Linked DNA regions of Styela clava. The protein of the gene in region 1 purifies or fractionates together with the protein of each later gene. This does not show direct contact. Links are inferred from orthologs where the notes say so. Each region holds a gene or a part of one and is shown on either strand. Other genes may lie near its edges. The genes, in order: splicing factor 3B subunit 1-like, nuclear cap-binding protein subunit 1-B-like, survival of motor neuron-related-splicing factor 30-like and histone deacetylase complex subunit SAP18-like.

Region 1 (7,958 bases):
ATTATTTAAAAGTGTTGCAAGAACATCGTGTGGACCAATGGCTTTTGCAATGTAACCAAAAGTGTTGACAGTTGCACGACGAATTGATTTCTTATGTGCTTTCAACAATTCCAATAGTTCAAAACAAATTCTCATCCACTCTCGAGCACTTACATATTCAGCGCCTCTGTCAGCAATACGGCCCACCAAATCTATACAATTTTCCTGTACTTTTTCATGACGATTTTTCAAAATCGGTGTGAGACGTGGTAGAAGATCTTTAATCGGTGGAGTCATTTTATGCATACCAATCACATTAACAATAGACTTCAAAGCTCCGAGGATTGAACCCAACACTTCTGGATATTCTTCACCAAGGTACTCATAAAGCACAACTCCAAGATGGCCCATTAATTTTTCTTCTTGACATGTCCGCATCACTATAGAAATACGAGAAATTAAATCTGCTGCCTGTTGTCGAACTTTCGCTGATTTGTTATTGAGTCGCCACAAAACAGTACCACAAATCTGTGGAAGGTACGGTTTTACTCTTTTACCCAGGGTGTTGACCACAGTACCAAAACCATTCAACATCACAATGTCTTCTGTTGTCTGTTCCTGGAATGCATACAGTATACCATCAATCAATTGCTCCTCAAGTCTGTGATCAATATCTGCTGAACCGAGATTCACCAAAATTTTGTCTATTGTTTCCATAACCATCTTTCTGTATTGTTCATTTTCATCTTTAAGATCATCCACAATCCGTTGCACCATTTCAGCTGAACCGACTTTGTTTGCAATTTCAACTGTTGTGTCAACTAATTGTCTGTAATTACGTCGATCGAGAGCCATTCTCTGGTTCCAAAAATGCTTGAAAAAGGGAGGCAGAATTTCATTTTTAATGTACTGGGGTTCAACACCATCCGTTCCACAACATTGCTTCACCACTTTAAGTACAATTTTCTTCATTTCTTCATCAGGTGACTGAAACTCTCGAATCAGGATCAACATTACTTCACGAGTGTAGTAATTTGCATACTCGGCATCCATAAGTGGAATGAGGTACCCAATAGCCTTTAAAAAAGCTGCCAAACCTTTTCCTCTATGAGTTCTGATACCTTTCCAGAGAGGTTTCAGCACACTGTCAAAGGATTCGATACCATAAGGTGTTGCAGCTTCAGCTAACGCAGCCAAAGCAAGGGCAGTGATGGTTCTTACTTTCTGTTGTTCATCTTCCAAACCATGCTCGATAATTTCAACTAAGTTTCTCAAATGTGGGAGAATGGCACAACCCATCAAAATAGCAATCTGTTGTGTAATCTTGATTCCAGTGTGACGTGCCTGCCAGGATTTTTTACTCCTGCAAACGGCTTTCAGAAAGGGAAGCAGGGAGGGAATTCCAAGGGCAGATGCGACAACAGCAAAGGCTCTTGCAGTCGTATTACGCACATATTCATCCATGTTGTCAATATCAGGTCTCATTACGGAAATCATAGTAGCAAGTCCAGCTGCTTTTGCCAAATTTGAAATAATCTCACGTCCCTCCACTCTGGCATAATAGTCTTCATCAATCAGAAGTGGTTCAATGACGACAAGAATTTTATGTACATATGGCCGAACCATATCGTCCAACTTGTAAAGAATCCTGTCGATGACTTTAACGAGAAGATGACGCTCTTGATCTTCAAGAGTGGGTGACATGAGCAATGGCAAAATTTGATTGAACAAAGGTCCTGCACCAAATTCCCGAGACTTGTCTGTTATCTGACGCAGTGCACTTTTTCTCATTGGCGGCGTGCCATTTTTGATTTTGAGTAGAAGTTTCATTATTTTTCTTTCTTTTTGTTCCTCTAAACTCAATGTTGATTCATCTACTTCAACAAGTAGTTTGTCAAAATACTGAATATCATCAGGTTTCAAGAATGGCAGATTCCCAGTCGGCTGATCAGTAATTCCTTTCATCGACTTGTCTTCAACCTGGATATGAAACCCAGTGGATCCTCCCATTGGGGTTGGAGTTGCAGTAATTTTTCTTGCAGGTGTACGAATAGGAACATAACCAGCTGGTGGTTGCAAAACTTTGTAACCTTCAGGGAACATTCCGTCAAGCTCTTCATCAGATAGTGGGCGATTTCTTTCATCAATTTCCCGTTCCCACCTCCATGCTTGAAGTTGCTCAGGTGTCATGGACATCAAATGACCAGGAGTTGGAGTAGCCATAGCCATTGCTTTTGTACCCATGGGTGTGACACCTGAAGGGGTAAAGAGTGAGGGTGTTCCTAAAGAGCCTGGTGTTCCCATTCCTGATTTTGGGGTGAATGCGCTTGGAGTTCCACCAGGGGTAAAAACTGGAGTAGCAGACCCCGGTGTTTGACTTCCCGGTGTGGCAGCAGCTGGTGTCAAATCCCATCTTGATTTTCTCTTGCTGGTACCACCAGGAATTCTCTCAGATTCGTCTCCATGATCAGCTCTTGGTGTTTCAGCCCATCCAATATTTCTGCCAGGGGTTTCTCTTTCCGTTTTGGGAGTTTCATCCCATCTGTTTTTCCTTACACTTGCACTCGGTGTACCACCGATGCCTGGGGTTGCATGTCCAGGAGTTGTAGCACCTGGAGTAGCATGACCAGGTGTGGCATCCCACATTCTGGTACTTTGTCCTGGTGTTACCATTGCTCCAGGTGTTTCGCCACCTTTTGGTCTGCCAGGTGTTTCATCCCATCGCAATGGTGTTGGTGCATGTCCAGGAGTGGAAGCATCAGCCTGGTCCCATGTCATTCGTTTTTTTGGTGCATCAGGGGTTGGAGTTGCATCCCATCGCCTCTTTCTTTCTCTTTGAGCAGGTGCAGCGTTAGGTTGAACAGCTTTAGCATTTCCATTTACATGGACATCACCAGACTTCAGCTTTTCACTAATTTTCGATCTAATTTCCCGTTCTTCTTTAGTAAGAGCTTGGTGTGTCATAACATCTTTGTACTGCGCCAATTGAGGATCAGGTGTTTTACCACCATCAGCAAAAGGATCATGACGTGCAGGAGATATAGCTCTTTGTAACCTTTGTCTTCTATATTGGTCTTCCCTGTTTAGAATAGGTTGTGCTCTAGTTTCTGCAAAAGGGTCATAAGATTCATCACTCTGTGGGATATCGTTAAGAACAGCTGCAGGAGCAGTGTATGTCTGTCGTTTTCCCAGTAAAGCGGCATTCACATCTTCAACTTCATCATCATCCTCTTGTTCATTTGGAGCGATGGATGTTACATATCCTGCAAATTTACTATTCGAACCGCCATAGATCTCCTGATCATAATGACCTTCTTGACCGAGTCCAACTCGAGCTTCACCATCTGTTGGTTGTTCAGGGGAACCCTCATCTTCATTCTTGCTCAATGCAACTTTCCTTTTTTGGATCGCCTCAATCTCAGACACATAATCATCCTTTGTTGCCATTTCGAGGCAACGTGTATTTGAATACCTTTAATACTATATTTTTTAGTGTTTTATATTATTCTAAAAGATAAAAAGCAATAAGTTATTAGCACTTTATTAGTTTTCGATAAGCTGTGCCTGTAGGCAGTATAACTCACTGCAAACAATTATAAATACTTACAGTTACAAGCGCCAATGCAATAACATTCAACAAGACTGGAGTTCATGATACACCAGTAGTTACCAAGATGGCTTTTAACACATGTCCTACTTGGCCAAAACAAACAATATTCAGCCTGATATGGAGAACAATGGATGACTTAGGAGCACTAGAAATTTTGAACATAAAGCTCATCTGGAACTCATACATTTGGATCCTTTCAAATTAATTATTTCAGCGCAAGTATCAAAAAATTATAGAATAAGCTTGTTAAAAATTGCTTGTTGGATTTCAATAAGCTATTACAAAAGAATTAGGTACCTACATATTCACTATATCTCAAATTTCCCAAAAACATTCATGAAATATTACAAACCGAATTACCAAATCAGTTTTTAATAGTAGATCAAAAAACAGTTAAGACCAGATGTGGCTTATTAACTGTAGTGTTGTAGTATCCCATTTAGCTACACACATCAACTTGGCCCCAAAAACCGCACTCCACATGGGCCACTACACCCTCAACAATTACAATTTTTGAGAAATATTCATCAATTTCACTTCAGTCCTATGAAGTTGATGTTGGCTTAAAAATATGACCTTTTTTAGACAGTACTTCCATAATACGAATCATGTTTTCGCAATCACTCGTACCTTGGTGAAGTTCACCAAAAACTTCCAAGTCTAACAATCGCAGCATAGCATGGAGTCGACCTTTGCCAAGTCTAGGCCATTTTCCCATCGTTAATGCATACGACTTGTTTATATTTACATAAGGATAAAAATATTTAGGTAAAGTCAAATTTTTCATCTTACATTCACTGGGTAACATTTTCATCAAGTCCCAATCACCAGATGTACAAAAAATAAAGTTCTTATTATCACTAAGGACATGTTTTTCCATCCAAATGTCAAACAATTGCATAACTTCTTTTAAAGTAGGCTTATCATCTACTTGGAATTGAGTAATTCCAGTTAACTGCATACAAAATTCTGATAATATTGGTTGTATAGTTGGTCGGACGAAGGAATGAAAACATTCTTCGATTTGATATGTTGATGAATTAACTTTAAATGCTGGAAATTCTATAATCTCTTGATCATAGGTTAGTTTTGATCTCTCACAAGTTGCTTCAAAATCAAGAACAATGAAATAGTCATATATCTGATGCCTTCTCAAGTCTTCCGGCTTCTTCTGCACAAGATCAGTGAGTAACACTTGTTTTTTCCTTGATATATTACGGCAGCTCAGTACGAGTGGGAAGAAACTTTGAGCTCTATTGTATTTTTTCAACAGAAGCATCATATAACTTAATTTGATCAATAGAAAAAAAAATATTCAAATAAAGTACTTATAATGGATGAAAATTTGGGGACCGGGTCCACTCATTTGATTAAGACGATGATCGCGTAATAACAGTTGCGTTTTTCTGAACTAATTTATAGTTTTGTGAGCAAAATAAAAATAACTACCCGTGGTAGTACAGCACCCAATACCTGTGCATACCTGAGATAATTGTGGTGGAATTTAGCTTAACAATGTCGATGGACCAAATCAGTGGTTGCCAACCTTTCTACCATGGTGGAAAAATTAAATAAAGTGTACTCGCAGACCGGCAAAAATTGAAATGAGTGGAACAGAACATATATTTGCACAATGTCGGACAATCAGTATATACTCTTCAAAAAAAAAGGGTACACTTAAAAACATTTCACATGAGGAAAAACTATCAAATAATGTGCAGAACAGAAAGAGCGCGCATGCTCATTTTCAGATTTTGGAAACTTGCGAGATTAGACGGAGCGATTCGCGATGAATCGGAACCGAAAAAGCGAAAAGTGTGATTACTCGGCGCCAAACGTCACCGGGCCATACCACACCTATCAAACAGCAATATGACGGCGGAAGAGAAATTGCGTAATAAACCAACGTAACTACCTCTTTTCGGCTTCAGTAAAGCGATTGGGGCGGTAGAAAAACACATTAAAATTTTCGCGGACCGGCGGTTGGGAAACACTCGACTAAATGACACTTACACTGACGATAAACAGTCAGGATTTATAACAAAAAATTAGCGGTGTTAAAAAGTGTGTGTGTTGTTAATGAGGACTTCTGGACTTCGATTTTACTGCATAATTTAAAACATTTCACTGGACGCCTAGCTGCTCTGTCTCTGTGCTTTCCAGTTTACCACAATTCATAGATAGGCCTATATGAATTGTAATGTTCATATCGGTACAGTAATACCGGTACAGGTTTCTTTTCCTAGAAGCAAGAAAATCACTAATTTCAATCATATCTGACTTACCATTTGTCTGTTTGTACTTATGACTGTTTTACAATGATACATTCATAAAGCTGTAAAGCCTAATTCCTATGTACTTGGATTTTAGAAAACTGAATAATATTTATGTCGGTACCTGTACCGGTACCTATGAAGCTATGTCTGTATGTGGGGGATTTTAGAATGTATTCGGAATTCCAGATTTGAAAATATTTTTTAGAATGTACGGGTATTCGAAATACTGAAGTATTAGATGATGGCCATCACTGTTAACTTTTCAAGCTCTACGTCTGTACATCCTTATATCGATACACATGTCTGCATGTAAACACCTGCAGACCTGTCTGTCTGACATTCTGACATTACATCATTATGTTTTCTGCCAAAAAGGTAAAAAATCTTGAGCCACAGCTCTAGTAGTGTAGTAGCAACTTTACCACATCATTTTTTGTATGTATAATGTACCGCACTTATTCCTCCTCCTAATCCACTTCTTCCAATGAATAATAGAATTTGGGGCCAAACAAATAGTGGCCAGCCCGTAACTTCCATCGACCAACGCTACATGGCAAAACGTTTTTCATGCGTTTCAGTATAGAATAGAAAGTATGTTGCCACATCTACACTTGTATAAAAAAAAACGAATTTCAAATATTTGTACCTTTACGCATTAAAAGTATTTAAAATTAAAAACTTACTAAAATAATAAGTTTAATACACATAAATTAAAAGTATATCAATAACATTTGAAAGTTTGTATGCGTGTATTGGCTGTAGTTTATAATTTAACATGGGTTGTTCTCCATTCTATTTTTCAATTATTCCCCGAAATTAAGTTCCATTAGTATTCCAATATTAGCCCTATAAGACTCATTTTATTTCTGACTTTTAATGCCTTCATGTACAATATTTTACTTGATAGGTACTCTCAAAGCGGGAACACTCAATTTACCTTTAGGCACCTCCTCTCAAGTATTTGTACACCTATCTCATTCCAGCGAATCGATGGAGTAGGCTATATTAGCAACATCTATGGGTGTTCATATTCACTGGAATCATACTATTAAATTTACAGTACGCGTCATTCAACAATATAAAACCCACAAAAAGCATATACTGTATTATTTTGCATATTCCAGCTTAAGCTCAATTTTGAGATCTTGCAATTTTTATTGTTTTTTTGTACCTTATAAACTGTCGTTTTAATTTATTTTGTTACTTTGTAATGATTTTGTTTAATGATTTATATATATGCTGCGCAATTTTTTCACTATTTACACAAAATGTTATTGTGTGTTCTTCAATCCGAAATACCCGATTCCACACAATTTATGCTCCATTTACTCAAAAATACTTATTCATGTCAAATTTGATCAATACCACACTTGATCAAGTGTGTAACATTTCCGAAATTTTATTTAGCGTTAAACGCCTATATGTTATTGCCTATTGTGTATTTCCTTTCCATGGAAACTTAATGTTGTTTTTAGACACACCTGAAATACGTTAAAACATATCTGAACCATTTTTTATTCATGTTTATTGATATTACTATCGGGTGGTAACTGACCCGATGACCGCATGGTCGTATCGTTGCCACCCAGTCAATACCGAAAACTGTTTTGCTTTTTGATAATTATGTTTTTTTGTTGTGTAAATTTTTTTCTGGTGAACAAAACAAATAAACTCTCACTCTCTGTATTGTCTTTCGTGGCCGGAAAGCAGAATGAGTATGATTGACTTGAATGAAAAAACACTTGTTTGTTGCTTTAAAAAATATATACGAAAATCAAGCAACAAAAAATTCTACATATACAAACATATTGGGAATGTAACAAAGTAAAAAAATCTTCAAATGCAAAAAGAGACCTATAATTAGTGGTTCAAATGCGTACTGATATCAATCCACATTATAGGTGAAATCAAATGTCACCGACATTTGTCACCGGTGGACATGATAATTTGTAAATCAACAGGCGAATGTCCATTCATCAACATAGCTCACATTTGACTTGGAAACCAGTGAAAAACACCTCCACAACTACAGGCATTATTGTGACGTAACAATGTAAAACCAAACACAAGTGACGTAACAACTAGCTTGACGT
Region 2 (8,792 bases), on another chromosome or scaffold:
TTCAGTTGATCTCGCAGAACAAGACCGAAGCGCGCTCTAGTTCTATATATATATGTATGGATCGAGTACCACAGAGCCAGGCCACGCAATGGCATTAAAATCGCTACATAAAAATGGAGTCAGACGATAAAATATGGCTGACTACATGAAAATGGAAAGCGATTACAATAAGCCACATTGGGTAATGTTCTGTGGTTGTTAATATTCGCCTTTGACTGGTAAATTGGCCATATTTTTCGTCCACGAGACCACGACTTTTGCAAATTGTAAAAAAAGCCAAAATTAGCACAGAATGGTGGACTGGGATCTATAAGCGTTTCATACTTAATAAGATACGAATTAAGATCAGGCGAATATAATGCAAGAAAAATCGACGCAATAAATTGATTTCTGTCAAATCCCATAATAGGAAATGCATTGAGCGCCTCGGAAAAGTTGAAAGTCTATCGGAATGGCTCTGTTCGAACCCAGAGAGCCTTCAATTGATCTCGCAGACATGAGAGAGAAGCACACTGAAATGCTTGCCTCAGAATCTAAGGCTTAGATTCCACATCACATTTTGTTTGTCGTTATCCCAGCAGATGAAGCAGTTGCGGCCCAGTCTGGATTTCTTGCCCTTTTTCACCAGAAATTGGCCGTGCAATCAGAAATTCCCGCATGCAAATCAGAATTCCCGGCGTACAATCAAAGATTACTGTGTGCAAAACGACTGTGCCCGCGTGCAACTGACTTTGGCTTTAGATACTGCTCAGTACATCCGTGTAAAAGTACTAGATAAAAAATACGTTGAATCAGAGCAGAACGTTTGACCTTTGATCCTCAAACATCATTTTTATACTATGTCATTAATTTCGAGAGTGTTCTTACAACTTTAGATACTGTTTAGTACACCCGCGTAAAATTATTGGATAGAACATACGTTGAATCAGAGCAAAATGGACAGTTGACCATTGACCCTCAAACATTATTTCTATACTTTGTCATTAGTTTTGAGAGTGTTTTTGCCACTTTAGATACTGTTTAGTACATCCGCTTAAATTTATTGAATAAAAAATACGTTATATCAGAGGAGAATTGACGCTTGACCTTTAACCCCCTAACATTATTTCTATACTTCGCTGGTGGGGGAAGTCGTAACTGACTAGCGTCGGCGAGGAGTCCAGCAATCTACTCGCACATAATTATATTAACCGAATTCCTATTGTTGATGATGGCTAATAATGCATTGTCGAGTAACGTCCATAATAATTGATTGAGCTATGTGTCTGGTGCTAACGTGTCGCAGTTGCGTCACTCTCTAATATGTTCTGTTGCTGTAAGCATCTTATGTTGTGTGTTGCGCTGGTGTAATAAAAAAGTGTAAGCGTATTCAGTTGACATATAACCGTTGACCGTAACATATAACTAAGACATTATTAACACCTATCATTCAACACGATGCGCCACACCACCAAGCAATTATGAAATAAAGTCGTTTTTGCTACGCATTTTTCGATCAAGCCGAATCTTGCAAGCTACCATGTAGTCAACAATCGATCGTGGAGCTACGATTTGTTGGCATACATTTTAATTTTTCCACAAAAAAATCATACACAAAATACAAACAATTAACACAGAGAAGATTGGGAAAATCGGGGAAAACTGACAAAGCCTTTATAAAGTTTTAATATACGTAAATATACATGCGCCAGTTTACCCACATTCAACACAAACATATATTCAAAATAAAAAAGACAAAGACACGAACGGGTACCGGTGTTGTTCGGGCGTCAAACTTGTGTAACATAAACACTCGGTGGGACTCAATTATTAGCCTACTCGATTTTTGATTTAAAAGCTATTTTGACCGTAAATATATATATTACTGATTTTACCCGGTTTCATTGGTGAGCAATTGCAAATTTTCGGCGTGCAAAATTGACTCCACTCGCGTGCATTTTTGCGGAGCGCTAGCGCCCTCGGGCGTGCATTGTCATGGAATCTGCCAGTCTGGGTTGCGGCGTTTACTTCGTTAGACTCAGAATATTGTGAACTAATAATCACTGATGAAACAAACTGAAAAAACTATGAAAATCAATTTCAACAAATGGATTAGGAATTCAAAGGAATAGGGACTTATTTTGTTTAGACATTTATTCTTTTTTTGCATAGGCTATTTATTTAAATCACTCATTTTTATTCTTATTTAATATAATTGGGTGGCAACTGACTCTGATGACCCCCAAAGGTCGTATCGTTGCCCCCCAGTCATAGCCTATACCGAAAACTTTTTTTTTGATATTTGTTTATGTGTGCATAAATTGTTTTCTTGGTTTGACAAAATGAAATAAACCTTCTCTCTCTCTCTAACTCATTGGGTGAGCCAATCAAATAATCAAATAATAGTTTATTTATCCATAGGCTATTTATATTATGAGCACCATTGGTGCCCTTGCAATCTAATCTAAACTGCCATCTAATTTTGAGCCTAACCCTTGCTGATTTAAATAATAGTTTATTTTTCCACATTTATATATTGAGTACTATTTGTGTATCTGCAATAACTGCCATCTAATTTTGAGCCTAACCCTTGCTGATTCAAATAATAGTTTATTTCTTCATATTTATATATTAAGTACTATTTGTGTATCTGCAATAACTGCCATCTAATTTTGAAGCTAACCCTTGCTGATTCAAATAATAGTTTATTTATCCTATTTATATTTTGAGTACTGTTTTATGTATTCGCCAAAACTGCCATTTAATTTTGAGGCAAATCCTTGCTGATTCAAATTATAGTATATTTCTCCGTACTTATATACTGAATACTATTTGCGTATTTGCAATAACTGCCATCTAATATTGGGGCAAACCCTTGCTAAGTCAAATAATAGTTTATTTATCCATATTTATATATTTAATACTTTTTGTGTATTCGCAATAACTGCCATCTAATTTTGGGGCAAACTCTTGCTAAGTCAAATAATAGTTTATTTATCCATATTTATATATTGAATACTATTTGTGTATTCGCAATAACTGCCATCTAATTTTGGGGTAAACCCTTGCTAAGTCAAATAATAGTTTATTTATTCATATTTATATATTGAATACTATTTGTGTATTTGCAATAACTGCCATCTAATTTTGAGGCAAACCCTTGCTGATTCAAATAATAGTTTATTTATTCATATTTATATTATGAGAACCATTGGTGTATTTGCAATAACTGCCATCTAATTTTGAGGCTGAACCCTTGCCATATTCTTTATATTGAGGTCTATTTTGTGCATTTGAGAGGCTGACCCTCTCTATTTCAAATAATGTTTATTTATCCAAATTTCCACTCGATATTAAGATTACCAAAATTGTTTCACATTTGGGGCATATAATAGTTTATAAATTGGTACTTATATATGTATTTGTGGGTATTAGTCACCCATCTGTCTAAATTCTTTCTTGTTATAAGGCTGATTCCACTCTTTATACAATTGTTTCCCAATATTATATTCACATGACTATGAGTACCATTTTGTTTATCTCCGGAAACTTATTTTTATATGTGAGGCTTACCGCTTACTCACTCAAACAATTGTTATGTGTCCAACATTACATTTGAGTGTAGTAGTCCAATAGCCAAATTTGTTTTTTATTCATGGGACTTAGACCTCGCTTTCAAATAATAGTCTGTGTAATAGTTGATTATTCGTTCAAACTGTTTCATTTCTCAAAGACAAATCTTATCTTTTAAAAATTTACTTTGCTAAAATAATTATATTTTTTTTGTTCAATTTGTATAATGCGCCTCAGCCCTTCTCTTATTTTCTCATTTTGTTTTTAATCATCACATGTCGATGGCTATTGAAATTTGTAGCCCAATTGCAGGCAATTTAGGTAAATTAGATAACAACATCACATGTAATATCAAAACGATAAATAGCATCCCGATCCCGCTTACATATATTTTCCAAATATGTATCCATGACGAATGCTTGTAATATCCCTTCATAAATTATTCTCCCAGTCCAAAATGAATGCAATATTTCTTCAAATGAAAAATAGTAATGGGCTTCTTAGTTGCATCATACCACATTTATTTTGTTAGTTTTATAACTTTTCTGTATTACCATGTTTATTCAAATTGTTTGTTTGTATATATAGATGTTAACACGAACAATTGCTTAGTCCATTTTTTTGTTTTGTTCGTTTTTTTTTTTCTTTTCTTTCAAATTTTGTTTCATGAATTTTAACCACTTCAAATAGTCATATTTTACTGTGAACTAATCAGCGTAAACTTGGAGGGAGCTGACTCCGATGACCGCATGGTCGTATCGCTCCTTCCAGTCTATACCGAAAAAAGTGTATATATTGTTACCATTATTTATTGTTATGACTGTTTTTTTTTTCTGGTTGACGAAAATAAATCTCTCTCTCTCTCTCAATAAAAATAAAATACTAGATACCGGTATAAAATATGGATACAACGAAATTCTGTTATATTCGAAGGTACGGTATCCCCCCTGATCAGCACCTAGTTATCAAACAAATAAAAACTGCAATCACTTACAGACTCAACATTGAAAAAAATAGAAAATTACCCAATTTTGTCAGGGAATTTGAAATAGTCTACTTAGAAATTGTATTTAAACTATGAATCAAGTGTGTATAAATTGACTAGTATAAAAATGAACATGTCTAATATCTGAATATATTTAATTTTTCACTTTTATTGTACCGTACATATTATAACTCAATATACTAAAAATTGGTGATGCAATAGACATACTGACATGTGAAAAATTAATAACGGATTATTTATTTTATGACTGTTCGCCTGGTTATATACTTCAGTACTTTTAGTTATGTTTCATTATATAGACTAAAAACTTATACTTCTGTACTTATATATTATAGGCTACTTATTAGATTATCCCATCAAAAAAAATAATAGTGTGAGACTTTTAGCTCAGTACAGCAGTATCTCAATCAGTCAATTCAGCAGATTTTTACAATATTTATTGTTAGAATAACCAAATTCTAGTGATCTCTCAATTCTGCAATTACCATAATTGGAAGGAAGAAGTCGTTAGAAGTTTATTAACTACATTAAGTTTATCCAACAAAATTTTGTTATAAGTTGTCCATAGATCCCTTCAGCAATGTGGAAGCTTTGCCCGATTCTGAATCGTGTTTTTTGTATGCTTGTATTATTATTTTTTTTGATGGGCGGGCGTGTACTTTTACGTTTTTATGTTAGTTGTATGTTATGACTACCGAAATCAATGATTGATAATTAATTGATTTATAATTCAGAAATAATGATTTTAAAAATATATTTTGATTTTAACCTTTTAAATAAATTTGACCGTATTTATTTGCTAAACAAGTAGGCTGACCTGCTATTCCAATAATCCCTTCGAATGCCCCACAGAGACCTAATGTCAGAATGTTAACTTTGAATTTTCACAGAGACATTACTTCAAAAGCTTCTTATTCTGTCATTTCTGTATAGTACTGTAGTACCGGTACCAGTACTTCAGAAAGTCAAATTTAAGAATTTAGTCAATGTATAACTAAAAAAACTTGAGATTTGTTTCTATCCTTCGGTTGAAATGTCAAGAAGAAGACCTCATGATGCAAGGGACGCGTCATCAGAAGATGAAGGTATCGTATTGATTGTTATTTCAGTATACAGGTTTAACTACTAAAATGAGCACTACAAATGTAAAAACATTCCTCCCATTACACACTTTATTCTTTTATATAGTGGTCTTAGAAGATTTTACTGACAGAGAATCGTTCAATTTTTCCGTATAATTTTGCATCCTGGCATCTCATTGGACATTTGTTCACATATCAAAATATTTCACATAATTGTGTGTTTTTAGCGACAGCATGTCCGATTCACAAACCACATTTTATTCGACGCAGGTATAGGACTATCCGTGTACATGTGTACTCATTTCTGCATTTATACAAATAGGACTGCCTGCCTATATCGTATAATCTCGCAAAAAATTTCATAAAGTGGCAAATTCTGCTAAATTTGAATAACAATGTTCCAATATTTTCAAATGTTATTAGAATATTTTCGAATCCTAGACTATCAATAAATTATGTATTATATCCAGCTGAAGCAAGTGGTGGAAATCTCTCAAAGAGAAGAAAGACTACGGAAAGTTCTGAGGAAATTGAGAAGAGACTTGAATCATTAATTTGTAGAGTTGGAGAAAAAAGCAGTTCATCCTTGGAAAGCAATTTGGAAGGATTGTCGGTTGTACTTGAAGCAGATCTACCAAACTTCAAACCTCAAATTTTAAGGATTTTAGTTTTATGGTACTTTTTTTATTTTTTATATGTGATTTTTTTAGTAAATGTAAATTTTCTTCATATTTATGAACCTAAAAGTTTGCAGTTTCAGTTTTATTTGGGACCCAAATGTGATTAGTGATTGCCATATATTATATATTCTGGTATAATATTTATATTCAAATGAGCACTTTAGGTTGCATTTAGAATGAGTAATTCTTAAAAAATGAATAAAACATATAACAGCACATATAAAAGGAAAATTTATGTTAATGTAAATTCAGCCATTACTTCCTTTTATACATTGGTATTAATTTTTGGAGTGTTTTTTGCTCAAAGCCAGGTCGTGGGCTCTTGAATTAAAAGGGAATATATGTTTTTATATAGGTTTTTAAATAACCTACAGAGGTATGATCAATGAATTATGATGAAAAAAAACAAGGAATCATACAGACAGTTAAAAATTCCCTTAAAATATAAATTTATTTATTTATATTTTTACATCTACATTTTGTATTTCAGCTCTTATCAACTTCCAGAAAAATGTACGATATACACAACTCTTGTTGGTTTGCTAAATGTTCGAAATTACAATTGTGGGGGGGATTTTATTGAAATGATGGTTCGTGAATTAAAAAGATTGTTAAATGCTAATCAGTACGATGATGCTCGACATGTTGTAAGTATATATATTCATTCTGCAGTGGTATCTTAGTAGTATGCAGTAGTAGTGGTATCTTAGTATTATTTATGCCTTTGAAGTTACCGTGTCCTAACAGCTTGCTTGTGCGTAGCGAGCAACGAATGTCATGAGATCAACAACCAAAATGTTTGTGCTTGCAACTACTAGACAGCTTATGTTAAATAAAGGTGCGGCCCGCAGTTTTACCCAGTTATTTGTATCTGGCCCTTCTCTATTATTAAAGGTTGCACACCCCTGATTTAGAACATGTAGAATCTAACTAAGATGGTGCCGTTAGTTATGAAAAAAGGGGTCATGCGTACCAATCACCCAGAGGCCAGAGCATTATAAATTTCCAAATATAGTTGATGTTTCTCGTGTTTGTATAAAACTTTCTACATTGCAGACACAGAAGATACTTCATGATAGTATACTGTTTGCTATTGTCGACGTTCCTAAAATTTTGTATTTCAATTTCAGGTGAAGTTTATTGCAGATCTTGTCAATTGCCACATGGTTACTCCTGAATCATTGTTTGGATTTTACGAAAATTTATTTACTGTAATTAGAGAAGAAGATGTTCCTCAAGCTCGCAGAGATTGGTGAGTATTTTACATCAGTGGTTCTTAAGCCGGACCCCCTTTTCAGAATTTGTCAAGTATCGCGCCCCAGCTCAAAAATAACTAATTAACAATAAGCTACAAATAACAGATAGTAGAGCGAAAGTATGTATAATTCGAAAAACACATTGAAAATATGTGGATGGAACATATATATATCCAAAATAAAGAAAAGTAAATATCCAAAATAAGGTAGACAGGTAAGATCAAATTTGACAAATATTAGCGAAGCCAGAAGTCACATCAGCTGGCAATGATATATCCAAAACTAAGTAATTTAATATTTATTCATTTGATGTTTTTTACTATGTTATATGTTGGTTTCACAATTTTACTTCAAAATTATTAAAAGTTAAAACATTATATTGGGCGTAGATATGCTTATTTAGACCTAAAATCGGTATCTATGTGATTGAGTTCTGAATAGTAAAACAATTTTTAAATAACTTGAATTTCTATTTTATAATTTTTCACTTAGTTGATTCATTTTCAGCATATTATTAAATTGCTACCTTTGGCTGTATCTTTTATTAAATAAAATTAACAAATATACGTTCACTATTCCAGGTATGCATATTCCATATTAACTTCTCTGCCATGGGTTGGTGCTTTGTTACAAGATCAGAGGTCAACAGAATTAAATCAAGTTTTATCTGCCTTGCATGAATACATCACTAGGAAAAGAAAAAAAATCCATCACAGTTTCTTGAGAGTCTGGTCGTCAGATGAACCACATCCACAAGAAGAGGTGAGATCATAGGCATTTATTGTTAAAGGGATGTCAATTCTTTTCAATATTTTGCCTCGCAATGGATTGTGATCACTAGGGTCAACCTTAGCATGTATTGTTTGCAATTTACTTACAAAATCAGAGTGGAATATGTGCCATAAAACTTGTTTTATTAACTTTAATGTATGAGTCGACAGTATTTTTTATTTGTCTCCTGCTTTCGGCTGTTACGGCCAGCGTAACTTGAGTAAAATAGTTCACCACTTTATATTTTTTTTCTTCTTGTGTTCTAGATATTTTGCCAATTGTTGCGTCATTATCAAAGTCTAAGCATGTGTATATTCGTAAAAATTCAATTATACTGGTATCTTAATTATATGTACCAGTATCGCCACTTTCCAGGCCTGCAAATATCATTCCGCTTCTAATTTTGGTCCACAGTCAATCAACTTGGGGAAAAACTGATCTAAAC
Region 3 (7,930 bases), on another chromosome or scaffold:
ATAGAATTTCTCTGCTCTTAGTAGCTCTAATCATTCTTATTGTTGCCTGTCTTCCTTTTTTAAAAATCTTTATAAATTGACCAGCGCCAGGTATAGAGAACCACCAACTTCCAGCATCTCTTAAAGTTAGAAGTCCGGCATTTACCAACTCTGTAATGTCTTTATCTTTAAATCCATATTGATTTATCATTGTATGTTCAGTAATAGTAAGTTCTGATATACTTCCAATAACCTCGATCAAAAATCGAGATATGATTTGCTCCCTGCTAGTTAACTTCTTATCATCTTTACGTTCACCCCGTCCTTCCCTAGATGAAATATTGTGATATCGATTGACGTGAGCAATAAAATCTTTTGTTAATACAATCATATGCTCCTCATTTCTATGTTCCAAATGAAATATTTTTATTCGTCCACATTCAAAAAGATCATTTACTTGCTGATCAACTGTCGTTCTATTTTCCAATAAAGCATACAATTGATGTTTAAAAACAATAGGCGGAAACCGGTTCTGCAGTTGTTCTTGTGGAAATATATTTCTAATGTGCTCAATTGCACTCATTGCATCAGTTATATTAGCTTCTGAATCTAGTTTTCCATTACTCCAAGGTATGAATGTTTTGGACTTCTTGCTGTTTCCAGGAGAGCCACGTAATATAGTATGTCGTCTCTTCATTCCGTGACAAATAATATTTTAATTTAGTGTTAGTAATTATGCTGATCTATAGAGAAAAGAATAAAGTAATATAAAAACAAGCTTGAATATTTCACAGAAGTAAATTCACATCCAGTTGGATTGAAAAAAAATAGTAGAAGTACATTGGTACAATTTACATCATTGTAACTCGAGAAATAATAAAGATTCCCCTCATGACGTTACTATTTCTCTAGAGATTTTGACAGCCAGTCATTCTTGATTAATTTTCACTGGAGAAAAAGTTTAACTGTTATCCAACTTAAACAGCAAAATAGTAGACAAGATTCGAAACATCTAATCTAAATTCCAGTCATATTTTATTTCGATTATTCTGTTTCATTCATCAAGCATATAAATAGATTGAAGGCATGAAAAATATCATTTCTCTAAACAAATGACTGGGACTTCATCATAATATCCATGGACACATTAATACCATGCCATTTCCTATCAAAAATATACACATAATCTAAAACAAGCCAAAAATAATAAATTTCCTCATCCAGTTCATATTATCCAAATGCCAGAAAGAATGCTTTTGGTAACAAGATTATGAACTTTGTCATATGTCGCTTGATACTATCCCTGAAAGACATGCCATCTTACTTAAATGATATAGGTGTGAAGTTCTATAACACCCTTTCATGATTTTGGCACAAGATGCCGTGCGTTATATTTAGCACCCTCATCATATTTTGTCATATCTTTATCTGCAGTTCCGCAAGTACCAATTCCCACTCTTCCAACAAGACCTTCAGGTGATGCAAATATACTTTTCTTGACGGCACCTTTCATAGACTTATGTGTGATTTTTTTATTAAATTCTTTCCATTTATGTTTCGAAATTTCAGATTCAGCTTCTTTCTCTTTTGCTCTCATTTTCTTTCTTTGATTTTTCTTTTTACGATATTCACGTTGTTGAATCATTAATTCCCGTTTACTGGCTTTTGATTTAAAACCAGCCTTGTCACCATCGGCAAGCAGTTTTAACTGCGTTAATTGACAAACATCTGGCTGCTCAAATTCATCAAATCGAACTGCAACTGTTGCACTTTCAGGTAAAATTTCTTCGAGTACTCCTTTGTGATATTTCCCATCTCCACTCCATATTGCATAACATGGGTCACCTACTTTCCACATATGACGAGGACCACTGTCAGGCTGAACAGTCTCTTCTGCTATTTCTTCGGCGGTTTTTCCAGTTGTTGTTTTTGCTTTCGTTGAAGGTTTTGCAGCTTCTACTCCCATTAAATCTTTAGTTAGTTGAATAACTTCTTCAAGATCTTGCTTCAATTTTTTAAGTTCTTCATTTTCAGGATCTGCTGATAGAGCTGCCTCGACTTGCGCTAATTGCACTTTATAGTTTGTCAAATTTGCTTCCAATTCGGCAGACATGATTTTTTGTTTTAATAAAAATTCAAAGGTTTAAAAGATCTAAAGGTTTTCAAAACTGTTGTATTTGCAAAATGGTAAAATTATTCATTTATTAATTCTGCAATCCGGTACATATACGAAGAACCTCATTCCTATATTTCAAACTTGAATTGTATAAATCCTGAAATCAGTACAATTATTTAAATTCATTTTATTTGTTAGACTACAGGTACAGGACTGGGCTTTATACAGATATACCAAATATTACAAGTGAACACTAAATTAATGATAATGTAGTGGGGAAATTGAGATATATAGCAGTTTAAATTATACCGTACTAAACCTGATGAAAATTTAATTAATATAATGTGTACAGGTTTATGACACCTGTTGTTCTATGGCCTACCGTACACTAGTTTATTATTAAGGTTTCGAGGGTGGCTAGTCTGGATTTCATGGCCTTTTTGAATGAGAAATCGGGCGTGCAATCAGAAATTCCTGCATGCAAATCAGAATTCCCTTGCGGGCGTGCGAAACAACTGCGCCCGCATGCAACTGACTTTGACTTTAGATACCATTCAATACATTTATCAAAAAATTGTTATGCCACACCTACTACTAGCCTAGAAGTCTGTTAGGTACCGTAACAGTATAAGGTCAAGCAGAAATAAAAAAATGGAATACCGGTATGAAGGTACCGGTATCCCAAATCTCTGAATCTTGTGGATTCAGCGCGGCGTGGCGGTGTGGCTCAACGGGCTAAGTGTTAGAAATACGCTCGCCACCGCACCTCTAATTACTCTGCGTGGGTTCGCAGGTTCGAATCCCATGCAGGGATGGTTATGTGCGAGAGGATTGCTGGACTCCTTGCCGTCGTTGGGTGGTTCACGTAACCGCTGGTCGGTTACCGTTCGGCTTCCTCCACCACCAAGTCCATGCTTCCGAAAACAAACAATATAACTAATCCCATACCCTGATACCGACTAGGAATTGTAACCGGACGAGAGGCCGTGGTTTGCCATATGGATAAGCCGTCTTATCGGCTTTCCTCTCCCCTGGGATAAATATGTAAATACTATCCTATCCTATTCAGGGTTTACCATAGTCTGATAGTGATTGTCCATACTCAGATACTGCCATACCGTCATACGTACCCCGATACGCGGCACCTGTACATTGATTGAGTACCGGCAACATTATAAATTTAGACGCTCGCGTTAAAACTGGAAAATGATCTTTCAAAACGCCAACGAACGAACCTACAGACCTAGGGAAGGGACTGAAGGATTGAGTTGAAACATCGCCAAAACGTCAAACAACAAATCTGGTGCGCAGTCACGTCACGTGACAAGCCAATCACAAGGATCGATTGGGACCACTGAGGTGTATAAATACTGTAGTGTACACCTCAATGGTTGGGACATTCTCCAAAAGTCTCGATTTTGGATTTTATATTTATACGGTATTTCTATTTACTGGCAATCCCAATCCCCAAAATCCTAAAAATCCCAAGTTTTTGCGTGTTGAATGTGAGTTGTAATAAACAAACAAATATTATATTCCCTGATTACAAATCTTGAGTTCTAGTGATAATCACTCAAACCATATTTACGCTCAAATCATCCAGGGTGTAAAAAAGTTACTGCTTTTTTTGTAGTCTTGAATGATGGAAATGGGTCAACTCCTTCATTCATTCAACTTTGAAGAAATATGAAATAGTGAGTAAAGCGTTGCACATATAGAACTTAACTATATTGGCATCGCAGGGTCAATATCTCCGACCAAAACCAATGGTCATCAGTCATCACATTGTTCCGGCTATGAAAAACGAAGGAGGGAAAGCCAAAACAGGAAGGAAACGGCCCTCCCTACAATAGTAGCTTCTTGCGCACAAGTGGCTGCGTGTGAATAGCCTTGTTTGAAGTGAAAGTGTGATGAACTCCTCATAAAAAATTATGGATTGATCTACCGAAAGCTACATTTAACTAAAAGTGACAACACATCGGTTACTTTAGTAATTTGGAACAAGGTGGCGATTTTGCCACATCGGCTGTGAAAAGCATGTACTAATTTTCCGTTCAACACTATTTTATCTAACATTTTAAAATGCGTTACATATTACAGTAAATACCACATCAGTCAAGATATTCAAAAAAACGTTTCACTAAATTCGCGGTCGAAATATCAGATTATAAACCAGTTCTAGTTAATTTAGCTCACTATACAAACTTCGGTTTGTTAGTTTCCTTGTATAAATTATATATATATATTATCACAAATTTACAAACTGCAAAATTATTAGTTGTTGCTCTGACAGTATTGAAGTGGGTTGCTACGCAGCTTGCCACTTGACCATCAGTCGCATCTTACGGCTTTTAAATGGTGACATGCGAGTCACGCGTGAAATTTTATCGCAGAGAAAATAAAATATTATCAGAGGAGTGTGTTTTAAAGATATATTGCTAAATAGAACTCTAGCACACGCTTTTAAAAAGCCACGAGTGAAGCTTTAGGGCTTGATGGTTGACAAATAAAATATTTAAAAAATAACTCATGCAAATTGGCCCAGGGAAGACGGCAGGAAGAAGGTTAATGCCGGTGGAGTTGATCAGACAACATGGAACATACCTATATTTTTTTTTATCAATTGACGCCACAGGCACCTGATGTTGCAGAAAGTCGTTCCGCCTGTAGCCTGCCTGTCAGACTAGTTCAAGACGCATGTTGTTTTGGACATTGCAAAAAAAGGGAGGAAGCAACATCTTTGTGGTATCAATTATCACCGTCGATTTTGAACGAGGTAACTTATAACTTGTGACTTGAAAGTTTTCCCGACTAAAATAAATAATTAGAATTGTTTTAGCGGTTTTCGAAAATCATTGAAGATTTTCCTAAATATATTGTTAGAATTCACAAAACGAGGATAAAACACGAATTTATGTTCCGCATCTTCTTGTACTTGAGTATAGGACATGGGTACAACAATTCAAGATAGTTGTGAATACCAATTAATTTCAGCGCATTTTGTTGTAGTTTCGAATTATTACTAGCAATGAAAATCGTAGACGTCTCGAGCGGTCTTATAATATACTTTATGCTCTCTCCTTTTTTCACGACACGCTCAAGCACTTCTTGCTGTATTATTTATCACTCCTCTTCAGAATCTCAGTCGAGAACCAACTGCTCCACATCCTTTCGAAAAAATATTGAGGGAACGAAATAGTCTCGATTACATGAAAAGAGTGAGTTTATGTTAACTATTGTTTTGTTACTCGAATGCACTGCGTGCAATAACATCTCAATAAAACTCAATTCTCTTTTTTCAGATGGATATAGAATAGCTAAAATTAGATCATTGGTAAGATTATTATTGATAAAGATTTCAAATTAATATTGACCGTTATATATTATATCTGTTATTACAGAATACTTACGCTTTAATTTACAGGATTAAGATGGAAGTGAATCGCCGACTACATGCTGGCTCTATTACCTCCCTTCGGACTAATTATTTTTCATGTAAAAAGTTCTATTATCATAGTTATATATATTTTAGTTCATGCCTTCATTGCCTTAATACTTTATAATTTCAGGCCGAGGGGAGTCCAGGTTTATTTTTAGATTGGAATAGGGTAAGGTATAGCTAGAATATCGATATATATATTAACATAGAGTAGTTAAAAATTCTCTTCAAACTCCAGTGCACTTAAGAATTGTTCGACAAGGTTTTTGAGGCGTGTCGGCCCACAGTTAATGAAAATCACATATTTCTTCTTCGTTTCAGCCGAGTTCATTTTCCGTTCGCCAGGAAACACACCACTTCCTTTTACATCAGAGTGGAATTTAATGTTGGAGATGAATTTCATCCATCGATATATTGGGTTTGGCACTTTATTCGTACACTCACCAAAAATATCATGCTGACTAGTAGGCTATAGCAGTAAATTCAGTTAGGTAGTCACAATATCCATCAATTTAAGTTTACCGTTACAATTTTATATCTATGGGTCAAAACTGCCAATATTGAGGAAGAGAAAACTACAGAGATTCAGGTGAGCTGTGCAAAAATTGTTTTATGTAATTCTTATACGCTACTCATATTGTCAAAAATATATTTACTAGATTGCAATGGCAGTAGCTAAAAGAATGAACTGGATGATAGAACAAGTTGAAAATAACGTTGAAGAAGGTGTCCTGGGAAATATTGGTTAAACTTGAAATCTTCATAACGCATATATCATACAATATCATGGTAATTTAAATCTTCACAAGAAATTTTTGTTACTGATTTGGGAACCGAATTTCTATCGTGTTTTTTCAACAAATTCTACACCATGATCTTATGAAAAAACGTATATCTGATACTTTTTACCTATGTCGTTTTTTAAATTATGAGTAAGTCTACTAAATTGATAATTATCATCTTTTTAATTTAACTTGTTGATAATTATAGGATTATGTGGAACTCAATGGGAGCGATGTTCTTTCGATATCAAGTTGCAACTATTTACAAGTATGGCAGTTTCCTTTTTTTGTCAGACATACTTTAGAACACGTCAGTTATAATTATGAATAAAATCGAAGTTTATATTTATTTATCGTTATTACATTTTTTTTAAATCGCTGGAAGAAGCTCCAGTCTCCAGTTTGTTGAATACAATGATCGAGAGGTAGATTATATTATATTTTAACAATATCCAATAAATGCAAAAAAACGATTCAAAAATATTTCTGCATTTCATTTTTGCCATAGTTTGTAATTATAAATTTTTTAACGGCTTTATTTCAGTTTGATAGTTTATCAGTATCGGTGGATATGAGCTTGGAAGATAAAGATGAAATCAAGATTCGAGAGGTGCGTTTGAATTTTGTTCATTATTTTGCATTCTGAATCAATAAAATTGTAAACTTTGTGCTAAGGACAATATTTTTTTTCTATGTATATTTCAACGAGTTTTAGTTTTCAAGCCAGTAAATTGTCTCAGTTATTTGACATCAAATATTCCTATATTTATTTTTAAAATAAGTACAATATCTGGAATTGATCTGATTGATATCTGAATACAATACCTGGAATTGATTTTTTGCAGCTTGATACAAGAGAAACTTACGTTGTTGAAGGCGAACTTGCCAATATTACCTCTCTGATTTCTGTGAGTATTTTTTTTTATAGAATAACATAATTTTTATTGGTGTTAAATGAACGTAACAAGTTTATGATAGACTGATAAAACATATAAACAATGGGTTGATGAAATTTTGTTTGGCGAGTTGGAAGTCGTCGGTAGAGAGGTGAGCACGATAGGTAGTATTAAAATATTTCCCGACTCTTATATTTGTAATCCCACATTGTTTCATGCTGGTGTTTGACGTTTTAGTCTGAAATGAGGAATCAAATATTTTTCAATTATTCTTTTTCATCAACTTTGTCGAAGAGATTTTCAACACATTTCATCACAGTTCACTAAGACAATTAGTGAACGGATTCCCGTTTGAACTCTTACGTTCAGATTCCCGTTTTAAAAACTGTTGAATTGTTTCAACCTGATATTAAATAGCTTTTGTCTCTATATTTGTTTTTTCACGTACATAATGAAGTAATGTTCGTTGATTATATACATATATATCTAATTATATGTATCTGTTTTTTACGGATTGTTTATTTCGTTAATAAACACATTGCGCCATTGGTATTTTGTTCCCGTTTATAACAAAAAATTAAGCATGAACTAATAATAATATATATATTAGGTCATGTATAGCCAAATCCGTAATATATATATATTAATTTTATTATGGAAACCTGGCGGGCTTGGATTACATTTGATTATTTAAGTAATTATTATTTGCGCAGAACGT
Region 4 (8,297 bases), on another chromosome or scaffold:
AAGACTACACTGAAAATTCTCCCGGGAATGCTTCGATATTATGTATGCTACCGCGCCATATGCCACTTCTGATGCATCACAGAATATATGAATTTCATACGAGGAACTTTCACATTTAACACCTTTAAATTGACGTGGAATCGAAAAACTCTTTAAACATTTCAGCGAATTTATCCAATTTTCCCAACACTTCAATCTCTTATTATCAAATACTTCGTCCCAAGCTAAGTTGTCACGCCAACATTCCCGCAGTAATAATTTGGCATACAAAATGATTGGTGCTACAAATCCTAATGGATCGAATATTGAACTGGTTACACTAAGGGCCTTTCTTTTCGTGGTAAATTCAGTAAATTTCTGGTGGTCGAATATAAAGCAATCCTTCTCGATGTCCCAATGCAAGCCCAGAGCTTTTCTAACAGGTAATCTGTCCAGATCTAAGTCAACATTAGTGACGACACGTCCACTGGATATTTCACGTAAAACCGATTTAGAATTCGAAACCCACTTGGTCAAGTTGAATCCTTTATCGTGTAACATCTTAATCATATCTTTAGCTGTCGATACCGCGGAATCAACATTCCATTTCGAAGTAAGTAAATCATCGACATAAAAGTCTCTATCGGTAGTTAATATTACGTCTCTAGGAAACTTGTTTCTACTATCGTACGCAGCTCTCTTCAAACAAAAGTTTGCGACATAAGGTGAATCCACAGCTCCAAAAATACGAACTAAGAATTTATACACATCTGGCCGTTTGGTTGAAAAAAGGTCTTCCGACCAGAGAAAACGTGCAGAATCCGTATCATCTTCCGGCAATCGAATCATATGAAACATGGCTTCTATATCGGCGCTTATAGCGATTGGTCTTTCCCGAAAACGTAAAAGCACCCCGACTAGATTATTGATCAAATCGCGCCCGGACATCAATCGACTGTTCAGACTGACGCCGCAGCAAGTAGATGCCGCGTCAAAAACAATTCTTAGTTTATTTGGCTTGTTGGGATTTTCAACGCCATGATGAGGCAGAAACCAAGTTCGAGGACCGCGAAACGCCTTTTCATCTGAAGTTAGCTTACGCACCCAACCCCTTTCAATATTCTTTGCCATTTCTTTACAATATAAGTTTCGCAAACGTTCGTTTCCTTGGAGTCGTTTTCTGAGATTTTCGAACCTGTTAAGCGCTACGTGTTCGTTTTGCGGCATTTTGCAATTTTCATTTCTCCACATAAACCCAACCTCGTAATGACCGTCGATAAATCTAATTTTTCTTTCCATCAAATTATCAGTTTGTCTATCTTCAATCGACTCGCTACGGGTCAAATTGTACGCCGTGCCTACAGCTTCAGTGGACCAAAATCGCTCAACTTGTTCTTGCAGCATGTTATACTGGTCACGCAAATCACAACACAGCATATTTGAAACAGTTTCATCTTCATTAGTCGCGCCTGAAGACCCGATCAAAGTCCAACCGAGAGGAGTTTTAATACCCACTGGTTCATGTTGCTGGCCGACTCTACGTTCAAGCTGGAAATGCGCCAAGGGATTATCGGCTCCGATTAAAATCATGGCTTTGTTCGCTTCAATGTCGGTTAACGGAATATCCTGCAGGTGAGTCATATTGTGATCGTTCTTAAGGATTCTAGCTGGATGTGGTATGCGTGACTCGACCACAAACACGTTGCTTAACATCAGAATTTGACCACTCTCGTCGTGAGCAGATCGCACCGACAATTTCACCACCTCCGTATTTTGCGAAACGCCCTTATTGCATAAGGTGTTAATGGTTAGACACCTAGGACTTCCTTTCAAACCAAGTTTTTGTTTTAATTTGGGATGTATTATTGAGATTTGACTGGCAGAATCTAGAACAGCGATAGCATATTCAGAGGATCCCAATGGGCCTTTTACTACGACTGGCAAAAGCTGAAACTGAACACCATTAACGCCTGAAACATGAGAATTGGCAACGCCGCTCATTTGAGGAGGGAGATCAGGCTGATTGTTATCACTCAATCTATTAGGAACGACTCTCAAACCATGGATGGCTGAATGATGCTTACCGGGACAAACACGACACATATTGCGGAACCGGCACGAAATAGCTAAATGTCCAGGTTCGAGACAGTTAAAGCACAGGCGTGAATTTAGTAGAAATCTTCTTTTCGTGTCATTGGCACTAAACCTGAAGCTATCGCAGTTACTTAAAGAATGAAAACCATTGCAATAGAAACATTGCATTCGCGGTTGTTCGAGCGGCTGATTTGAATGACCCGATAAAGGGTATACCACATTCTTCTTAGGAAATGCCTGTCTGCGATCGTCACGATCTATTTTAGTACTGAAAAGATTTGGTGAAAAAGGATTTCCTAATTCCTCGCATCGTTCCCACAACCACTGCTCGAAGTCCAGTAAACTCGGCATTTCGTCGGCACGAATCATATCAGTCACAAACTTATTCCAACTCGAGGTCAGTTCTGCCGGAATTCGCATTGCTGTCTTTCTAACATTTTCAATACTATACAAATCTGCAAGCAATCGCATTTTCTTCAAATTTATCACAATGTCGCGAACTTCAGAATGAAAATCGGATATTTTTCGGATACTGAATTCTGTTACTCGTCTACCATCTACAACCTTCTCGAGAAAGGCCCGAGCAATCGTCACCCGTTGGCCGAATATATGTTTCAATTCACTCAACGCGACAATATAATTACTTCCCACCGTGCCTAAGCCATCGACATGTCGTTTAGCCACCCCCGTCAAAGACGCGACTAAGCGAACCATACGCGAACCGTCGTCGTCAAGAGAACTGTGTACATTATCAAAAAATAACTCAATAAAGTTTGGCCATTCTAGGGGCGTTCCGCTAAAACTAGGAATCGTAATCGGCGATAAATGGTGCTGGGACAATATTCTAGAATTCAACTGTAATGATAACATAGTTTGTTCCTCTACTGACATATTAAAAGAATTAACAGAAAATTTACCAGACTGGTTAGGTTCCAAGTGGTCAATCCACGCGTCGACTGCTTCTTGTGGTATGAGCATTCTGTTTGCAGGAGACGGGCGTTTGTAAGTTCGTGCTGTCGGGAAGTGCAATTCTTTGGTCTTTTCTGAATTTGTTGCCACTTGACTCTTCGTCGGAACAAAAAAGTTCACTGCACTTCGTCTGCGTGTTGACTCTAACGGATATTCAATATTGACGCCACGGAAGTTATCTTTAGGCATCTTTTTGGTAGCCAATTCAGTCTTTTCTTGTTCAATTTCACGCATAAGTTCGTCAGCTTGGCGACGTGTTAGATCTGCCATTCGTTCTTTTTCGTTTATATCAAGGCGACGCTCTAGTGCTGATATTTTATTGCGAATGGTATCTTCTTCTGTGAGAAAGTCTCGTTTAGCCATACGTACAAGAGAATCGGCTCTTTCTACCTCTCGTTCTTGCTCAAGTTGCAATCGCTTCAGTGATTCAACACTGCATTTGCTTGTATTGGATTCGACAGACCCGTGATCAGAAACGATCTCCTCGTCAAGGTAAGAATTAATTCTGCTTTCAATTTGATCGATTTTCGATAACATCATTTGCCTTCCAGTTTCATATTTCTTCAAAACATTTGGATTACGGGTAGTCGGAATGAGTTTATCCATCACTTGGTCATAAGCAATTCGTTTAATATGAAGTTTAATTTTAAGATCAGTAGCGATAGAATTTTGAGCATTTTCAGTAATCGATTTTGAAATTCTGTCGCACAAACCATTTAGTTCATTTTGTAGTCGGACTCTTTCGTGGCATAATACATTGCGTCCAATAGTTTCAGAGTTACCGTCGTCTGTTTCCGCGAGAGGAACTGCAGGCGAAGAAGAAGCTTCTCGTCTATTCAAATCTTGTGTAATTGATTCATCTGCTTCGTTCATCGTCGTCGCAAGGAGATTTGTTCAACTTTGTCACTTTTGGGACCCTCAAATGATAAGTCGATTTGCCAGACTCGTTTTATTGAAAGTATTCAAAACGGTTGACTAAAATACAAATGAAATAATTAGCACCAAATAAATCAAAGACAAATGATACAGAATATAAAACTAATACTTACACAAAACAACTCCATATAACAGCATAGTCCCAAAACGACAGATATACAACCAAGGTAAAACAGTAACTATAAATGCAATACCATACGAGCTGTAGACATGCAAATATCATAATGTTATATCGAACGATTCGAAATACAGTATAAAAGAAGACTATTGAATGAATTCAAACTTCAACGTTATAAAGGCGATGTAATCTTAAACTGCCATAACAAGAAATGAAATCCTAAACTGCTACCACCAGAAATGCAATCTTAAACATCTTGCTGAGCTTAGGGGACGATAATAAAATAAATACGTAACACGATAACACGTGAAAGAGAAAAATGCGACACGTCGAATACGAGAAAACAACACAGTAATGATGACGACGACGAGATAGCGATAATCATCACGATGACGATGTACAACTGAAGGAATCCTAACTAAACTAAACTTTAGGACCACACGGACTGCCGACATGTTGTACTTCATATTTTATTACATAGTTCATAGCTTGGCGGTAAAAATCCACCCTTCGGTTTCAGTCTTGCTCCACTAACAGCTGAGTTATTTGATTCGGTACAACAACACGAAGAAAATTCCCCATAAGACTCCATTGTATCGCGTTTTTCAAATATGGCACAAGATGGCGTCCATGGAGCTGTTTAACATTAGGCAAGTTGGTTGCTTGGCCTGGGCCGTCCTAAAACGCGGAAATACGATTTTGATTGACAGCCAACGGATTTGCTCATTCGCGGTACCTCTAGTGCGCGTGCTCTTCTGTGTGTTACGTGACGATAGAGTTGCTAGGTTTTATCTCTGCTTTCGTCTGTTATTTTGATAATAATTTAGTAATACATAAAACATAGCTATGCCTCAAGCTGGTTCACTGGAAGACCGACTCAGGAGTGTAGCACAGGACGCGCCAGCGGAAGAAAAGCCGGCGCCAAAGCCAGCTATTGATAGAGAGAAAACCTGTCCACTCTTGCTGAGGGTTTTTACTTGCAATGGAAGACACCATCCTCTGAGTGATTATGCGCGAGGGAATGTGCCAAATAATGAATTACAGATTTACACATGGTAAGTGTTGTGTTTGTACAATCTTGTTGATTTTTAAATCGTGGACTTCTAATCAATGACATTAGTTTTCTGAAATACATAAAGCAAACTAAATTGGGATGATTTAATCATATTCCGAACAAATTCTCCATGTTTAGTGTTCAGTTGAAGCTTAATCAGAAATATAATAATGCGTTTTTTCCATCTAAGTTTTTGATTTTATTGTCAGATGATATCTGTCCTTAAATTACTGAATTATCAAACTCCAATTGCTGAATTGTTCACTGTCACTTTGTTGTGAGAGAGAGTGTATAAAATAGGCGTGTGTAAAGTGTCTGGTCTCGTATCTCGAGTACTCCTAATGGGCTTAGTATAACAATTTTTGCACATGTCATTCCTAACCCCCACCTGACTACGCCATCTCAAAATCGCAATTAGCCAAAGAGCTTGCCAACGTATAACTGAAATTGCATCTGCACCGACGATAAAGAACTCGACTCTCATATCGGGATTATTGCGACGAGAAAATGAGAGAAATAGCTTGCTCGATTTTGCACAGTCGCACATTACTGTGTTATGCTACGCCCACTAGAAGTAAGAAACTACACTGAACCCTTCACAATCAACGATGCATGATAACCGTGTTTCGTATACATGATTTCACTGGTACCTGTTTTGCATCGCACATACGTCTAAGATAACGCCATTCTTGTGAGTTTGTCAATATTACTCATGGGCCCGAGTCTGTTTTACTTTTGTGTTATTGCACATAATACATTCACACAATTCATCACCACAATTGCTTGGCGGTATGGCGCATCGTGTTGAATGATAGGAATCCTGTGAGAATAGTTATGGGCGAAAAAAACGCCAGACTCCTCGCCGACTGACTCCTGGTCAGTTACGGCTCTGATTCAGCGTATTGCTCATCCAATAATTTTACGCAAAAACACTCCCAAAATTGATGACAATGTATAGAAATAATGTTCGGGTCGTCCAATTTTGCTCTGACCCAACTTATTTTTCATTCAATAATTTTACACCGATGTATGTTTATTTGCCTCAAAAATGTAACAGTACCGGTATCTGCATAATAGTTAAACGGTATAAAAGAGACTGGATACATTTTCAAGACCTTACCGGCCTAAGACACAGATGTGCGACATGCACGCTAACAAGTATAACTGCAGTTTAGGACTGCTGCGTTATAGTAGGACAACGAACATGAAAATTACAAATAAAACTCTTGTGCAATACACAGGACGAAGAGGTACGGCACCACGATGATATGTACAATAGGCAGTTTATGGCACGTTCATGTCCAAGGTTCTGATGATGGAGGGTATAAATCGAAATCGCATTTTTGTGTGTTTTACGGTAGATTGTACGAAACAAGTAAAAATTTATTCGAGACATGAACTAGCCAAAAACCAACGTTGGGTGGGACCACGACACAAAAGGGTTAGGTTCTAAAAAGGTAAATAATATAGGACATATGTAGAAATTCGTTGTTTACACTCGAGTTGGTAATTCTAAATTGTATGCGACAAAAGTAATGAGAACAATAGAGTCTGGCATAAAATGCAGGTCAACTTCATAGGCGCTATTGTGTGGAATTTATTGTCACCACGTCTCAGCATGATAAATTTAATTTGTATAAGATGATCTTTTCATTAGCAAGGATCCAATGAAGTAACTGTACAAAGCTAATAAACCATAAAAATATGCAGGAACTAGAGACAATGGAATAGTGGGTTGCCCGAGACTTGTTTCCTGAGCAATGGAAGTTGGTTGCATTCATGATGACATAGTCAAACGGAGATATTTTCATCTGCCAGTCTTTTCTCAACTTTTTCCCACCAATCATCAAAGAGCCCTTTGTATCTGAAAAATAATGCCTGGAGATTAGAATGTCCTGCACGAAAGCTAATATAATTCCAATAATTGTGCTTTAAGTTTTGATCTAAATGTACTTAACAGTACCAGTATCCGGGAATTTCTGATTGCACGCTCTATTTCTCGTTCAAAAAGGCCATGAAATCCAGACTGGCCTGTAGTTTTATCCAGGAATAATCTGAGTGAGGGCTCGGAACTTCGCTCAGACATGAGACTCCCATACTCCTGTGTGAGTGCTCGTAACTTTGGTCAGCGAAATTAAATATATAAAATTAACTAGTCTCATCCCTTTTTACACAGGATGGATGCAACATTGAAAGAATTAACAAGTCTGGTGAAGGAAGTGAATCCTGACGCTCGAAGGAAAGGAACAAAGTTTGAGTTTTCTACAGTTTATATGGAAAGAAATGGACGCCATAGGTTAGTTGAAAAGTATTCACCGTAAAGCTATCAAATAGCTTCTGATATTTCAGTGGCGCCCATACCTTGCTCAGATATTGTCTCATGCACTCTTGAATGGTCTTTCATAACCTTTCTCTCCTTTACTACCGAGTACTCAGAGTTATCTTTACTTCTGAGTGAGTGCCCGTAACTTTGCTTAGAGATGAGTCTTCTTTACTTCTGAGTGAGTGAGTGTGTGTTCAGAGTAATATTATTAAAAACAGTTTAAAAAAATACCCACCGTCGTCATTGAGGTTTTTTTTTAGTTAATTTAACGCAACTCCATCACACTGAAATGCCATTTTTGATTCCATTTTAATATTCTGTATCATGTAACATTGGTTATTCTCAGTATGGTGAAAAATCATTAATTAAACAATGGAACGCTCAATATTTCTCCACTATATTTTTATAGGTACAAAGACATTGGTCGAACAATGGCAGGATTGAAGGGGCCAGATGACAACGTTACTTTACAGGTAATTTTATCCGCACTATGGGAATGTCCGTCATATAACATTCCACACTGGCGGAATTCAACCCCCATTAAGAGGATTTGAAAATTGTTTCTTTATATAATGTTATATATATTTAAGGTGTCCATAAGTCTTTTTTTAAATTGCAAAGAATTGGCCCTTGGAGATGAATTAAATGAATCAAAAATTACTGATTTAAAAACAACAAAGCTTGTTAAGCTATATTAAGAACTGACTTCATGACAAAAATTAAAAGTACTTTATGGACACCCTGTATATTAAGACTTGCTTTGTCATTTTCTGTGTAGCAATTCCATATACATACATTCATATATATTTCCCTTCAATTATTTT

Evidence for each region.
Region 2: the proteins of splicing factor 3B subunit 1-like (region 1) and nuclear cap-binding protein subunit 1-B-like purify together in Homo sapiens (co-immunoprecipitation; 3 studies listed by BioGRID and IntAct, with this or other methods). This does not show direct contact. The link is inferred for Styela clava from reciprocal best matches to the Homo sapiens genes SF3B1 and NCBP1.
Region 3: the proteins of splicing factor 3B subunit 1-like (region 1) and survival of motor neuron-related-splicing factor 30-like purify together in Homo sapiens (co-immunoprecipitation; 5 studies listed by BioGRID and IntAct, with this or other methods). This does not show direct contact. The link is inferred for Styela clava from reciprocal best matches to the Homo sapiens genes SF3B1 and SMNDC1.
Region 4: the proteins of splicing factor 3B subunit 1-like (region 1) and histone deacetylase complex subunit SAP18-like purify together in Homo sapiens (co-immunoprecipitation; 3 studies listed by BioGRID and IntAct, with this or other methods). This does not show direct contact. The link is inferred for Styela clava from reciprocal best matches to the Homo sapiens genes SF3B1 and SAP18.

What each region holds. Positions count from the first base shown.
Region 1 is NC_135251.1:15,525,860-15,533,817, forward strand, and holds the start of splicing factor 3B subunit 1-like, read right to left. Parts: upstream 3,528-7,958; 5' UTR 3,427-3,527; coding exon 1-3,426. Other genes in the region: ERI1 exoribonuclease 3-like, read right to left, coding at 4,134-4,871. UniProt on the Homo sapiens protein: Component of the 17S U2 SnRNP complex of the spliceosome, a large ribonucleoprotein complex that removes introns from transcribed pre-mRNAs.
Region 2 is NC_135261.1:13,146,027-13,154,818, forward strand, and holds the start of nuclear cap-binding protein subunit 1-B-like, read left to right. Parts: upstream 1-5,469; 5' UTR 5,470-5,591; coding exon 5,592-5,643; intron 5,644-6,110; coding exon 6,111-6,315; intron 6,316-6,810; coding exon 6,811-6,967; intron 6,968-7,450; coding exon 7,451-7,572; intron 7,573-8,157; coding exon 8,158-8,338; intron 8,339-8,792. UniProt on the Homo sapiens protein: Component of the cap-binding complex (CBC), which binds cotranscriptionally to the 5'-cap of pre-mRNAs and is involved in various processes such as pre-mRNA splicing, translation regulation, nonsense-mediated mRNA decay, RNA-mediated gene silencing (RNAi) by microRNAs (miRNAs) and mRNA export.
Region 3 is NC_135260.1:11,000,866-11,008,795, forward strand, and holds survival of motor neuron-related-splicing factor 30-like, read right to left. Parts: upstream 2,177-7,930; 5' UTR 2,093-2,176; coding exon 1,340-2,092; 3' UTR 722-1,339; downstream 1-721. Other genes in the region: winged helix repair factor 1-like, read right to left, coding at 1-676. UniProt on the Homo sapiens protein: Involved in spliceosome assembly.
Region 4 is NC_135259.1:21,874,124-21,882,420, reverse strand, and holds the start of histone deacetylase complex subunit SAP18-like, read left to right. Parts: upstream 1-4,792; 5' UTR 4,793-4,942; coding exon 4,943-5,151; intron 5,152-7,326; coding exon 7,327-7,446; intron 7,447-7,882; coding exon 7,883-7,946; intron 7,947-8,297. Other genes in the region: uncharacterized protein LOC120332010, read right to left, coding at 1-3,915. UniProt on the Homo sapiens protein: Component of the SIN3-repressing complex. Enhances the ability of SIN3-HDAC1-mediated transcriptional repression. When tethered to the promoter, it can direct the formation of a repressive complex to core histone proteins.